Linked DNA regions of Lonchura striata. The protein of the gene in region 1 purifies or fractionates together with the protein of each later gene. This does not show direct contact. Links are inferred from orthologs where the notes say so. Each region holds a gene or a part of one and is shown on either strand. Other genes may lie near its edges.

Region 1 (3,743 bases):
ATCACAGGATCAATTACGCTGGAAAAGAGACCTCTGAGATCATCACCACATTGACTAGACCATGGCACTGAGTGCCACATTCAGGCACAGTGACTCCATCATCTCCCTTGGCAATCCATTCTAATGTCTAATCACCCTTTTGGTGAAGAAATTCCTGCTAATGTCCAACCTCAAGCTGCCCTAGTGCATCTTAAGACTATGTCCTCTTCTGCCACTGGCTGCCTCGGAGAAGAGACTGCCTCCCACCTAGCTACAACTTCCTCTGGGTAGATGCAGGGAGTGGTAACATCTCCCAAACCTCCTTTTCTTTGTGTTAAACACTTCAGCCACTCCTCCCAGGTAATAATGTGAAGCACGGCACACTTCTGGAGCTTGCTGCCCACCATGGAGGTACTGCTTTGGTGACAGGTTCTCCTGCCGCAGGGGTGGCCAAGAGCAGCCTAGAGGCACATATCTCGCTTTTTTCTGCACACCCCGCATTCCCCATTACCCGGGCTACAAAGGGCCGAGCAGTGCCCTGACCTGGCCACGAGGACACGGTGGCCCTGTCGATGATGTCGGGGGCGCGGGACTTGCAGTAGTCGGAGCGCAGCAGGGTGTTGAAGAGCGTAGACTTGCCCGAGTTGGTGGCGCCCAGCAGGTAGACATCGCCGGCGCACTTCCAGGAGCGCTGCAGCCGGCTGACCAGCCCCTCCATGCCGTAGCCGGTCTTGGCGCTGACCAGGCGGATGTCCACCAGCGCGGCTCCCCGCAGCCCGGCCCGGGCACAGGCCGCCGCCACCCGCTGCCGCAGCCGCCCCAGGTGCCCGCGGCGGTCTGCGGGCAGCAGGTCCACTTTGTTGCCCACCACCAGCACGCCGGCGGCGGGCACATCGGGGCTCAGCAGCGCCGGCAGCTGCGGCAGCACGGGATCGGGCAGCTCCGTCACGTCGAGCACGTACAGCAGCAGCGGCCCGCGGCCGTGGCGCCGCGGGCGGCGCAGGGCGTTGCTCAGCACGCGGCGGTGCTCGGCGGGCGGCAGCTGCAGCGCCGGGGCGCCGCCGCCGTGCGCCAGCGCCCAGCACCGCCGGCACACGGCGCCGCGCAGTGCCGCGGGGCCCTCGCACAGCAGGTTGCGGTACCTCTCGGCCGGCACGAAGCCCGGCGCGCCGCCGTCCCCGCATTGCAGCTCGGCCCCGCAGCCCGAGCAGCTCACGCCGCTCGGCGGCACCGACGGGTCCGACAGGCTCGGCATCGCCACTGCCACTGCGCGCCGCGCCCGCCGCTCCCGCCGCGGCTTCAGCTCCCACTCCTGGCGCGGCGCCCTCTCAGCCGGGTCCCGCTCGTACTCGAGGAAGACGAAGCGCTCCTGCTCCGTGCCGTGGCCCGTCGCCGCCGCCCCGCACGGCCGCAGCGGGGCGCGGAGCGGAGCCAGGCGGGCAAGGCGGAACAGCCGCGCGGGGCCCAGGCGCAGCATGGCGGGGCTGCCTGACGTCGCGGGGCGCGCGGGCGCCTCGCGGGAGACGCGACGTGACGTCACGGGTCGCGCAGCCGCCGTCCCGCCGCCGCCGCCACCGGCCCGCGCCCGCCCCTCGCTCCGCCGCTCCCGCCGCCACCATGTACGACGCGGACGAAGGTGAGGGGTTTGTTTCCCTTTTCCTTCTCCTCTTCTTTCCCTCCCGCCCGGCCCTCCCAGGGATGGAGCCGGTGTCCGCGGGAGCCCGGAGATGGGAGATGCGGTGCCTCTCCCCGAGCCAGGCGCGGGGGGGACACGGCGGCGGTCGGAGCCTAACTCACACCTTGTACTTGCCCGCAGATATGCAATATGATGAGGACGATGATGAGATCACGCCCGACCTGTGGCAAGAAGCCTGCTGGATTGTTATTAGGTGACCTGCTAGAACTTGCTGTCCTTACCCCGCCAAAAGCTGTGCTCTCGGTCTGCAGGGACATCCAGCTAGCTCCCGGGAACACGCCTGGGAGCTGCGGTTTGGTTACGCTAAACTGTGTTGCAGCACCTTCAGAGCAGGAGGGCTTTTGGTAGAAACAAAAGGCTGTCGGCTGGGATTGAGAAATTCTGACCCCCAGCACACGCGTTTTTCAGTGAAGAAAGGGGTGGTTTTGGTTCCATATCAAGCACGTGGTTTTGCCCATTAATCTCACTGTTGTTGCTGGCATTAGGAAATCAGTACAGGGGTATTTTCACCATTTTTTCTAGCAAAATGTGAGCATCCAGAACCTGTGTGGCTGGAACACAGGGAATCCAAGTTAAAAGTTGAGTACTATTACTTGGAATTGGGGGCATCCTCCTAGTCTACTGCAGCTAGGAAAATTAGTTGAAGCAAAGTAATTCATAGTGTTACTGAAAACTTGACCTGGAGCCCTTTCAGTGAGGTTTGTCATCACGTTTCTCTTCCAATTTAAGGGAATTTTGAGGCACTCACCGTGCATGCAGTTGTGGCTTAGCTAAGAGGTGGCAGCAAGTCTTGTCACTCCAAAGTGTCTGTGTCTTCAGGCAGGGAGGGAATTATTAAACATTTGTGAGGAGCATCTGTGTTTGAATGCCTTGGGTTAAGTAAATATGGTTGATTCTGTACTATATCTCATGGCTTGTGGAGTTTTGGTTATAAATATGTTTTAAGTTTGTTGGTGTGTGAAGTATATTAATTAAATTAAGATTTCTTATTAACCTGGTTTTTTTTAATTTTTTTAGCTCCTATTTTGATGAAAAGGGTTTAGTCAGGCAACAGTTGGATTCCTTTGATGAGTTTATTCAGATGTCTGTGCAGAGAATTGTTGAAGATGCTCCACCAATTGATTTACAAGCTGAAGCCCAGCATGCCTCAGGAGAAGTGGAAGAGCCAGTAAGTGAAGAACCTTGGCAGAGATTATGTGTTTTTACAATTCAAAGTCATTTGACATCAATTCTGTTCAACTCCTGTCCTGCTGTTTGAGCTGAGAAATGACCAAGTGGCTGCTGTAGCTCATATTGTCAGTTCCTCTGCAAAACTGCATGGACAGAGATTTACTAGAGCAGGTCAGGTAGCCAAGAGCAAGCTGTGTTTTGGTGAGATTTTGGTTTTAAGCAGCTTTACTGTGGCAAGGCTTATAGCTGAAAACTTCTCTTTAGCTTTGACTCAGGTTAGGTCCGGGTTTTCAAAGCGTGCTGTTGTTCATGTTCTTCCCTTGGAACTATGACAATAGAGATTGTCTCTATTCTGCACCCCATGATGAGTGTGCTCCTCTACAATGAGTGTGCACCTTCTGCAGTGGCTCTGGTGCTTTCACCTGTATCCCTGGTGTAGTCTGATCCCTGTTCCATAAGTGCAGATGGTGATGAGCCATTGCCTTGCTGTTAGTCACTACCTTGATGCTTCCCTACAGGGATTTAAATGAACTCTAGGACACCAGAGCGTTGATTTTATTACATGGTTTTCCTGTTCCTTGGCATTTTTTGCCAGCAAACAACTGTCCTGTAGAGAATAAGTGAGATGTCTTTTGGTTTCTTTGCTAGGCAAATGGTTCATAAACATTTAGCTCACTAATTCTTAATATTTTCTCTGTTATTCTGTGTATATTATGGCAGAATTCTGTATTTGTGCAGTTCTGCAGCTGATGTTTGTGCTGTGCTTGGTCTCTGTTCAAATCAAAAGTATGGTTTGTGCTGGGCTTCTTTTTGCCCGAATGCTATTAATTTACTTTCTCAAGTAGTGTCTTATTCTCATTTATGATTTGCAAGTTTTTGGGAATAGGTTTAGAGATGA
Region 2 (3,743 bases), on another chromosome or scaffold:
AGGCAGGTGGAGTCTGCTGCAATTCACTGGCTTAATCTACAATTAGAAGAACTGAAATTACAAACATGGTGTGTGTATCAAGATTCATGGGGTTTTCATAACTAAAAAAATTTGCGTTAAGAGTGAGGATTACTATGAAAAACTCTGGTAGTAGTTAAGGATCTGTAATAAAAAAGGAGAGTGAAAACGATCTGTCAGGCTTTACTTACTGAGAAGTTAATAACAGCAATTATAAAGGAAACATCTACAGAAACTGGTGCTTAAGTTCTGTGGTTTTTTTTTCCTTTATACACTTTACTTCCTACTTAAAAAACAGAGACCTAATGTATGCAGGAATGCCCAACGGCTGGACACAAGGAAAACAGAAAAGTCACCTTCCTTGCACAGGTGAGAAGAAGTCAAACAGCAGCCCAGAGCCTGAAAAAATCGGGAGTGGTGAATTCTGTCTGCCCGTGGACTGCGGCCCATTCTGATGAGACGGAACACGTCTGCTGCTGGAGCTGGAACACGGGCTAGAGACAGCATCCAGCTCAGCAAGACAGTGCAGAAGCACAGCACCGAAGCCCCCTGAGATGAGGAGCTGGTACAGAAGCTGGAGTGATGAAGATGCCAGCAGGGACACCGGGCATCCTGCGGGCCCGACTGTCCCCGCGAGGAGCGGGAGGCTCTGGATCCTGTGGGGAACTCCCTGTTCCAGCCCCGCGTTCCCGTTCCTACCCGCACATCTACCAACAACTACAGCATCCCGGACAAAGCGCACCCCGGCGCCAGCAGCGCCCCGCTCAGGCGTCCTGCCCGGCTCCGGGCCGAACCGAACCGGGCCAGGCCCGAGGCCTCGGGGGACGGCCTGGCCTTCGGGCGGAGCGGGACGGTTCCCGCGCAGCTCCCCGGGAGCCCGAAGCGAGCCTGCTCGCCGCCCGCTCAGGGCCGCTCACCGCGCCGGGCCAGGCCGCACAGCCCCGCCGGCGGCCCGGGGAAGCCGGCTCGCTCCCGCGATCCCGACGTCGGAACCCATCTCGCGATGACCGCGGACCAGCTAGACTCTCCGGGGCAGCCGCCGGTGGCATCGGTGAAAAGACTGCGAGCACTCACCGAGCCGCCGCCACTACCGCCCCGCATGGTGCCGGTGCCGCCGCCACGTCAGCGCCGCGCCCGCCCGCGCAGTCCCGGCCGCCGCTCCCGGCCGGCCCCTCCAGCCCCGCCGCGCTGCGGCTGTCGTGGCGCGCCCGGGGTCGAGCAGCGCCAGAAGGCCGCGCGGGCCCGCGGAGCGTCCCAGGCGGCAGCGGGGCCACAACCGGGTCCGGGCGTGTCACGTCGGCGCTGCGGCCGCCCCCCGCCCCGGAAGGACAAGTGAGCTCTGGGAATATGGCAGCGGCGGCGGGAGGAACGGTCGTGGCCGCTGCCCCGGTGTGTGTACTAGTGCTGGGTATGGCCGGCTCCGGAAAAACCACCTTCGTGCAGGTGAGAGGCTGCGGGAGTCGCGAGGGGCCGTGGGGAGTCGCCGGCTGCCCCCGGGGCTGCCCGTGCCCAGTGGGGCTGCCCGTGCCCCTGGGGCTCCCTGTGTCCAGCGGGGCTGACGCATTCCCGTGTCTCCGCAGCGCCTGGCCGCCCACCTGCACGGGCAGCGCTGCCCCCCGTACGTGATCAACCTGGACCCTGCCGTGCACAGCCTGCCCTTCCCCGCCAACATCGGTAAGTGCTGCGGGACGGCGGGCCCGGGCCGAAGGAGCGGCCTGGGGTCCGCAGTAGGAAACAGGGCCTTCAACAGAGACCCAGCCGGGTCGCGGAGTGTGCTTTCCATGTGTTCCGCGGGAGCGAATACGTGAGAGAATAGAAGCTGGGCTGCTTGTGTTCCCTTAAAAGAGCCCAAGCTCTAATAAAAAAAGGACTATTTTTTAAAGTTATAGGTATTTGCTTTAAATAGTGGTTAATATGACTATTTTTAGAACCAAAGCCATTCATCCAATGCATCTGTACCTTTTTATGTCTTCTGATGTGATTGGTGGTATTTGAGTTCTGGAGGCTGTTTTTTATCAGTAATGAAAGGATTAGCAGATTTGATTTGGTTCCCCCCATACAAATATGCTATCAACAAAGAGCTTTAAAGCACTTTAAAAGACACGAATTTTAAAGAAAACATTTTAGCACTAGAACAGATTTAGGTTTAGCTGTTCCAAAGAGCGTACCAGTCCCTAGTTTTGTGAGAATCCTGTCTCTTACCCTCTGTGAAGGATGGCAGCCAACCTTTCCAAAGGATAAGAAAGACAGTGTGGGTTCACAAGTTGTTTCACTGCTGTCAGAGGAATGACTGGAGTGTCTGTTCCAGTGCTGGATCTCTAGTAAGACAGATTGGGAGATGTGCTTTGTTAGCTGAATGGTGGCCAGCTGGGGGTTAGAAAACTGTTTGTATGCCTTTCTCCCCCAGATATCAGGGACACTGTGAAGTACAAAGAAGTCATGAAACAGTATCCTTTTTTTTTGTCTGAATAATGATATTTGAAATTTTAAGTTTTTGAAAATAATCTGTTGCGTGAACACTGTGGTGAAGGGGCAGGAAGTGGGTGGGATCGCAGCAATGCAGAGTGTTGCATGAAGATCAAGAGGTTTTGATTGTGTATTTCTTGCATGTGATATTAGGAATGTGTGTTCTACGAGATTTGGCACTTAGCTGATCTCCTGTGCTAAAAATGATTTTGCCTAACAGTAAATTTTTACAAGCAATAAATAGTTTTTTTTTTTTCTGGTCTTTTATGGTGGGTTTTTTGAGGGAGGGGGTTGTTTGTTTTTCTGTTTTGGTTTTGGTTGGTTGGTTTTGTTTTGCTTTTTTTTTTTTTTTTTTTTTTTTTTAAGCCGGCAGCCTTTTCCCCATGTTTTATCTAGTCTAATTTTATTTGTCATAACCATGACAATGAAAATTCCTACTTGCCTCTAGGCAAGGAATGAAAATTCCTACTTGCCTGATGAAGCAAACTATTTCTCCATTTGGCCATAATCAAAGCATTGTTGTCTCTCTGAATCTCAGAGACATGGGAGTGTTTGCTCTCACTCACAGTGTTGCTGACTGTAGTGCAGTAACATTATGCTAAAGTGGCTGCACTTCCTGAGGGCTGTGGAGGTCTTTGGTCGCTTATGTAATAGCTTGTGCAGATGAGGCAATACATAGTCTTTGGTTTTAACTTGCAAGTATGACTCTTAAATTTAATATTTTAGACAAGAATAAAGGTGATGGGGGATTCTTGATTTTGGCTGTTGTTTGATTTGGGGTTACCAGCAGAAAATCCTAAATATAAGTTTCAAATTAATATGTAAGTGCATTATTTGCTTCACTGCATATGTTAGCCATTACTGGAGTGTCTGTGCCTTGTTAATAAGAGCTTGAGGAGGATGTTTGGATATTGAGAGTGGTGATAGAGAAAACTGTGTGTTATGAGTCAGTGCTGGTTCTTGTGCAGTTAAAGCACAAATAGCAAGAAGAAGCCACGTAGCCCCTCTTCCTTCTGCCAATTGCATGTGTTTGGGTAAGAGTGGATTTGTTAGCCTGCTGAATGACTTTATAGACGTGTATTAATCGTGTATCGCGGCTGTTGTCCCTTGATCTCAAGATATCCAGAGTGCATCTGTAGTCAGAGCTGACAAAGATGACCTCTGGGGTCTGCGTAACCATTTGCTTTCCTAAATGAAGCATCAGATATGGGCTGGGCCCAAACGGCGGAATAGTGACCTCTCTCAATCTCTTTGCTACA
Region 3 (3,743 bases), on another chromosome or scaffold:
TAGTGAGTCAAAATAATCATGACAACTCAACTGCCCACTTGAGTAGCTGAGCACAGCTGGTTCACTTAGAGCAAATTATTTGACATAGGTTTAATTAGAGTAATTATCAGTAGCAATGGGAAAAAGCAGTATTTTGTGTAGGGACCTACATGGGTTAAGTGTTCAAGAAAGATTAATAAAGCACTTGTAGCTAAAGGAAAACACCAGAAAAATGGGAAAATTACACACAGATGTATAAAGACATCAGATGGTCACAGGAAAAAATCCCATGTGTGGAACTAGCCCTTTTTCAAAGTTTCATCACTGAACAGGCATTTTAAAAGTGCTTAGGCTCACTTGATCATCTCATGGTAAAGCCATATAATGCAGCATGACAAATTTCCTTCATAAACACATGTGGTATGTTATGATAAATCCTGCTTAGACCGGACATAGTGGGGGAAAAACGGGGACTTGTGTTCACAGCCACATTCCCATCTCAAATACCAAAAGCAGAACTAAGTATTAATCCTCAGATAGTGGACAAAGAATTACATGAGAATAACAAACAAAAAAGAGAGATTCAAGTTGGTATGCCCCACATGAAAAGTACTAGTAACATCCTTCATGTGAAACAAATCCAGGCTTGGATCCAGCAACAGAAAGAACTCTGTATGAGTCCTAAGGCATATGTTTAAACTATAATGTCTGTATTTTAGCAGCTCATGAGCATGAGAATGCTCACACCAAACAACTCCGGTTTTAAAGGGATAGCTGCAACAGCGAGATTTAAAAAGCACAGCTTCTTGAGGCTCTGATACAACAGGCAGGTTTATAAAAATACACATATGCAGAGAAATGTTGTGGTAAACTCACTGGAAAGACAGTGTTTTGAAAAAGTGCTCCTTCCAGTACTTTTGGATATGCAGTGTTGTTAGAAAAAAGGCTCATCTCCCAAACTGTTCAGCACTGTATAGAGAAAGCAAAGTTTTCATAACCCTATCAGGCTTACCAGCTAAGGTACTGAACACACTCAATAAAAAAAGGAAAAATTTGAACTGAAAAGGTCAACTTGGAGGCTATATCACACTAAAAAGCTGGCCTCATATGGAATATTCCATGAATATGCCACTTTGGACAACTAGCTAATTGCTGTCTCTGGGAAGTTTGGTTTTAAGATTTTTCCACCTAGTAACAGTCAACCTACCTGCCCATAGTTGTCTATGCCAGTTACTAATCTATTTAAGTTTAATAAATCAAAAGCTGTCCTTAGGGACTGGCCAAGAGTCGTAAGCCCTTCAGCTTGAAGGTTTTTCAGTTCATTCATAAACGTTGCATGGTTTTCCTTCCAGCCAGCCTGCAAAGAGAAACGTGAAAAGATTTATTCCACAGATAGAAGTTTTGCTTTCTTGTTAGGCTACAAAGAGCCTTCCCTGCTGCATGCAGCTCACTACAAATGATAACAAAACACCTCAGAAGTTAGTAGTATTTGATGTTGCTCCAAAAAAGCCTAAAATGATGCATTTCTCTTAATCCTCAGAACTCCCATTTACCAAAGGCGCATTTTCACTTTGTTCCACAGGACAGTTCTCTGAGGACACCGGTGCCCAAACCTTAGAGTTATATACATCACCTTCCCAGAGCCCTGCCCAGATGGAAGCCAACTGCGCTGTGAAGCGACCTCCAACAGGTTCACCGTCCTGTGTCATGTGGACCCACCGCCCCCTTCCCCCGCGTCGCCCCCGCCCTGCCGCGGCGGGGCCAGGGAAGTGCCGTCCCCTTCCGAGTCCGGGGCTCTCAGGGCTGAAGTCGGTCGTTCTCCCGGCTCGCCCCTTCCAAGCCGAACTCTCCTTGGAGTTGCTGTCACTTCTCCCAACTTGAATACATATCCCCCACAGTTCATTGCTGCTCGCACACACCGCACAGGGGAAAAGCGTCGGCCATGTTGATGTCAGCGCCGCCGCCGGAGCCCGTGTGTGCCGCGCTCCCCCGGACCGCCGGCAGCCGCGGCGAGGCGGGCGCGGGGCGGACGGGCCGGAAGGAGGCCGGGGAGCAGGGGGGTGAGCGGGGGTTACCTTGATAGCGTAGGGAGGCTCCTCGAAAGTGACCAGCATGTACCTGTCTCCCCTGCTGGCCGGGTCCCGGGCTCGGAGCTGCGGCGCGGGGGACAAAGCAGAGGGTGAGCCGAGAGGCGGCGCCGCCGCCGGAGCCCCCCGGCTCGGCCCGGCCCTCCTCTCCCTCCCGCACTCACACGCACTCGCTCGCTCCCGCCCTCGCCCCGCGCCCCCGGCCCAGGCAGCCCCCCGCTCCCTGCCGCCCCCTCCCCTCCCCGCGCAGCCACTCTCGCTCGCTTTCTCTCGCCTCCTCTCGCAAGGCAGAGCCCGGTACCTTCATGAAAGTCTCTACAGCGCCTTTGGCTATGTCCAGATAGGTGGTGCCCAGATGGGTGCGCTGGTTCATGGAGGCGGACGTGTCTATCAGGAAGAGTAAGATGGGCATAGTGCGGAGGGGCCGGCGGCCGGACGGCTACATGGACAGCGGGCGGGGGGCTGAGGGGAGAACCGTCAGGGGAGGCGAGGGGAAGGAGGGGAGAGAGAGAAGACGGGGGACGGGAGAGGAGTAAGTGGCTGTGAGTGCTGTGCACGGGGAAGGGCGCCTCCCCGCTGCCCCTCTGCCGAGGCGGGGGGGAAGGGGGGGCAGCCCTGCCTGCCCTGCCCTCCTTTGTGTGAGGGGCCTGCTCAGCCCAACACAGGCTGGTTTATGAGGGAGAGGCGGATAGGGCTGCGCTGCTGGCTAACCTTCCCCCCACCACCACCTTCCTCCTCCACCGCCCGCCCTCCCCTCCCCCTGTTGATGTTACTCAGAAGTTTCAGGCGGAGCAGCCGCAGCCCCGCTACCCCAGCACTTTCTCGCTCTGACTGAGGCGCTTCCTCGCTCGCCTCCCGCTTTTAAGGCAGCCTGGGTAGGTCGGCCCCGCCCCCAAGGACACGTCCCCGTCCCACGTGACTGTCTCCCAGCTCCACCATAGGGACCCTGTAGCCGCTCATTAGCATATTCAAATCGGAGGGGCGGGGCGGCCGCAGCCGGCGGGGGCGCGCAGGCGCAGCCGCGGGCGGGGGGGCGGCCGGGGGACACGGGGCAGGGCGCGCTGGTGCGCGGCCCCGTGGGTGCGCTGCGGGCGCCGGGCATGCGGAGGGGCAGCGCGGGAGGGACCCGCGGGGAGAGGGATCTGACGCCGCCGCCCCTCTCGCTGAGCTATTTCGAGGGCTGCGGGGTGACGCGTCCCTCGGGAGCAGCGCCCTGCCCGACCCGCCCGCTCGGGGAGGGCGGGGGTGTCCCCCGGGGAGCGCCGGGGCGGTAACTCCGGCGCTGGCGGCTTGTCGCCGCCGGGAACGGCGGGTGAGTCACGGGGGTGGGAAGGAAGGAGGGAGGGGAGAGGGCGGGCACCGCCCCCCGCCCCGTCTCCGGGCGCCGCCGGTCTCCTTGGGGCTGCGGCAGGTCCCCGGCTGCCCCCGCCGCGGGTGCTGCCCCTGGGCGGGACGGGGCAGTGCCTTGGGGCTCCGGGACAGCGGGGCAGCAGCCGGGTGCTCGGCAGTGCCTCCGGTCCGCGGAGCCCCGCCGGCGCCGCGGGAGCGGGGGATCGCTCCTCAAGGGAACTTCGGCTCCTGGCAGACAGCACGGGGGTCGCCTGGCTTGTCCACTGGGTTTAGGGTGGAGAAGACGGTCTGGTACCATTTAGATGATGAATTCCCAAAGACATGATC

The links.
Region 2: the proteins of POLR2B (region 1) and GPN1 purify together in Homo sapiens (affinity purification with mass spectrometry; 4 studies listed by BioGRID and IntAct, with this or other methods). This does not show direct contact. The link is inferred for Lonchura striata from reciprocal best matches to the Homo sapiens genes POLR2B and GPN1.
Region 3: the proteins of POLR2B (region 1) and INTS6 purify together in Homo sapiens (affinity purification with mass spectrometry; 3 studies listed by BioGRID and IntAct, with this or other methods). This does not show direct contact. The link is inferred for Lonchura striata from reciprocal best matches to the Homo sapiens genes POLR2B and INTS6.

Annotation. Positions count from the first base shown.
Region 1 is NC_134606.1:58,663,310-58,667,052, reverse strand, and holds the start of POLR2B (DNA-directed RNA polymerase II subunit RPB2), read left to right. Parts: upstream 1-1,535; 5' UTR 1,536-1,596; coding exon 1,597-1,615; intron 1,616-1,795; coding exon 1,796-1,868; intron 1,869-2,692; coding exon 2,693-2,843; intron 2,844-3,743. Other genes in the region: NOA1 (nitric oxide-associated protein 1), read right to left, coding at 523-1,456. UniProt on the Homo sapiens protein: Catalytic core component of RNA polymerase II (Pol II), a DNA-dependent RNA polymerase which synthesizes mRNA precursors and many functional non-coding RNAs using the four ribonucleoside triphosphates as substrates.
Region 2 is NC_134605.1:113,918,917-113,922,659, forward strand, and holds the start of GPN1 (GPN-loop GTPase 1), read left to right. Parts: upstream 1-1,343; 5' UTR 1,344-1,365; coding exon 1,366-1,461; intron 1,462-1,598; coding exon 1,599-1,692; intron 1,693-2,425; coding exon 2,426-2,465; intron 2,466-3,688; coding exon 3,689-3,743. Other genes in the region: ZNF512 (zinc finger protein 512), read right to left, coding at 1,093-1,119. UniProt on the Homo sapiens protein: Small GTPase required for proper nuclear import of RNA polymerase II (RNAPII). May act at an RNAP assembly step prior to nuclear import.
Region 3 is NC_134604.1:63,358,596-63,362,338, forward strand, and holds the start of INTS6 (integrator complex subunit 6), read right to left. Parts: upstream 2,893-3,743; 5' UTR 2,840-2,892; intron 2,777-2,839; exon of another isoform or gene 2,529-2,776; 5' UTR 2,479-2,528; coding exon 2,368-2,478; intron 2,133-2,367; coding exon 2,055-2,132; intron 1,337-2,054; coding exon 1,187-1,336; intron 1-1,186. UniProt on the Homo sapiens protein: Component of the integrator complex, a multiprotein complex that terminates RNA polymerase II (Pol II) transcription in the promoter-proximal region of genes.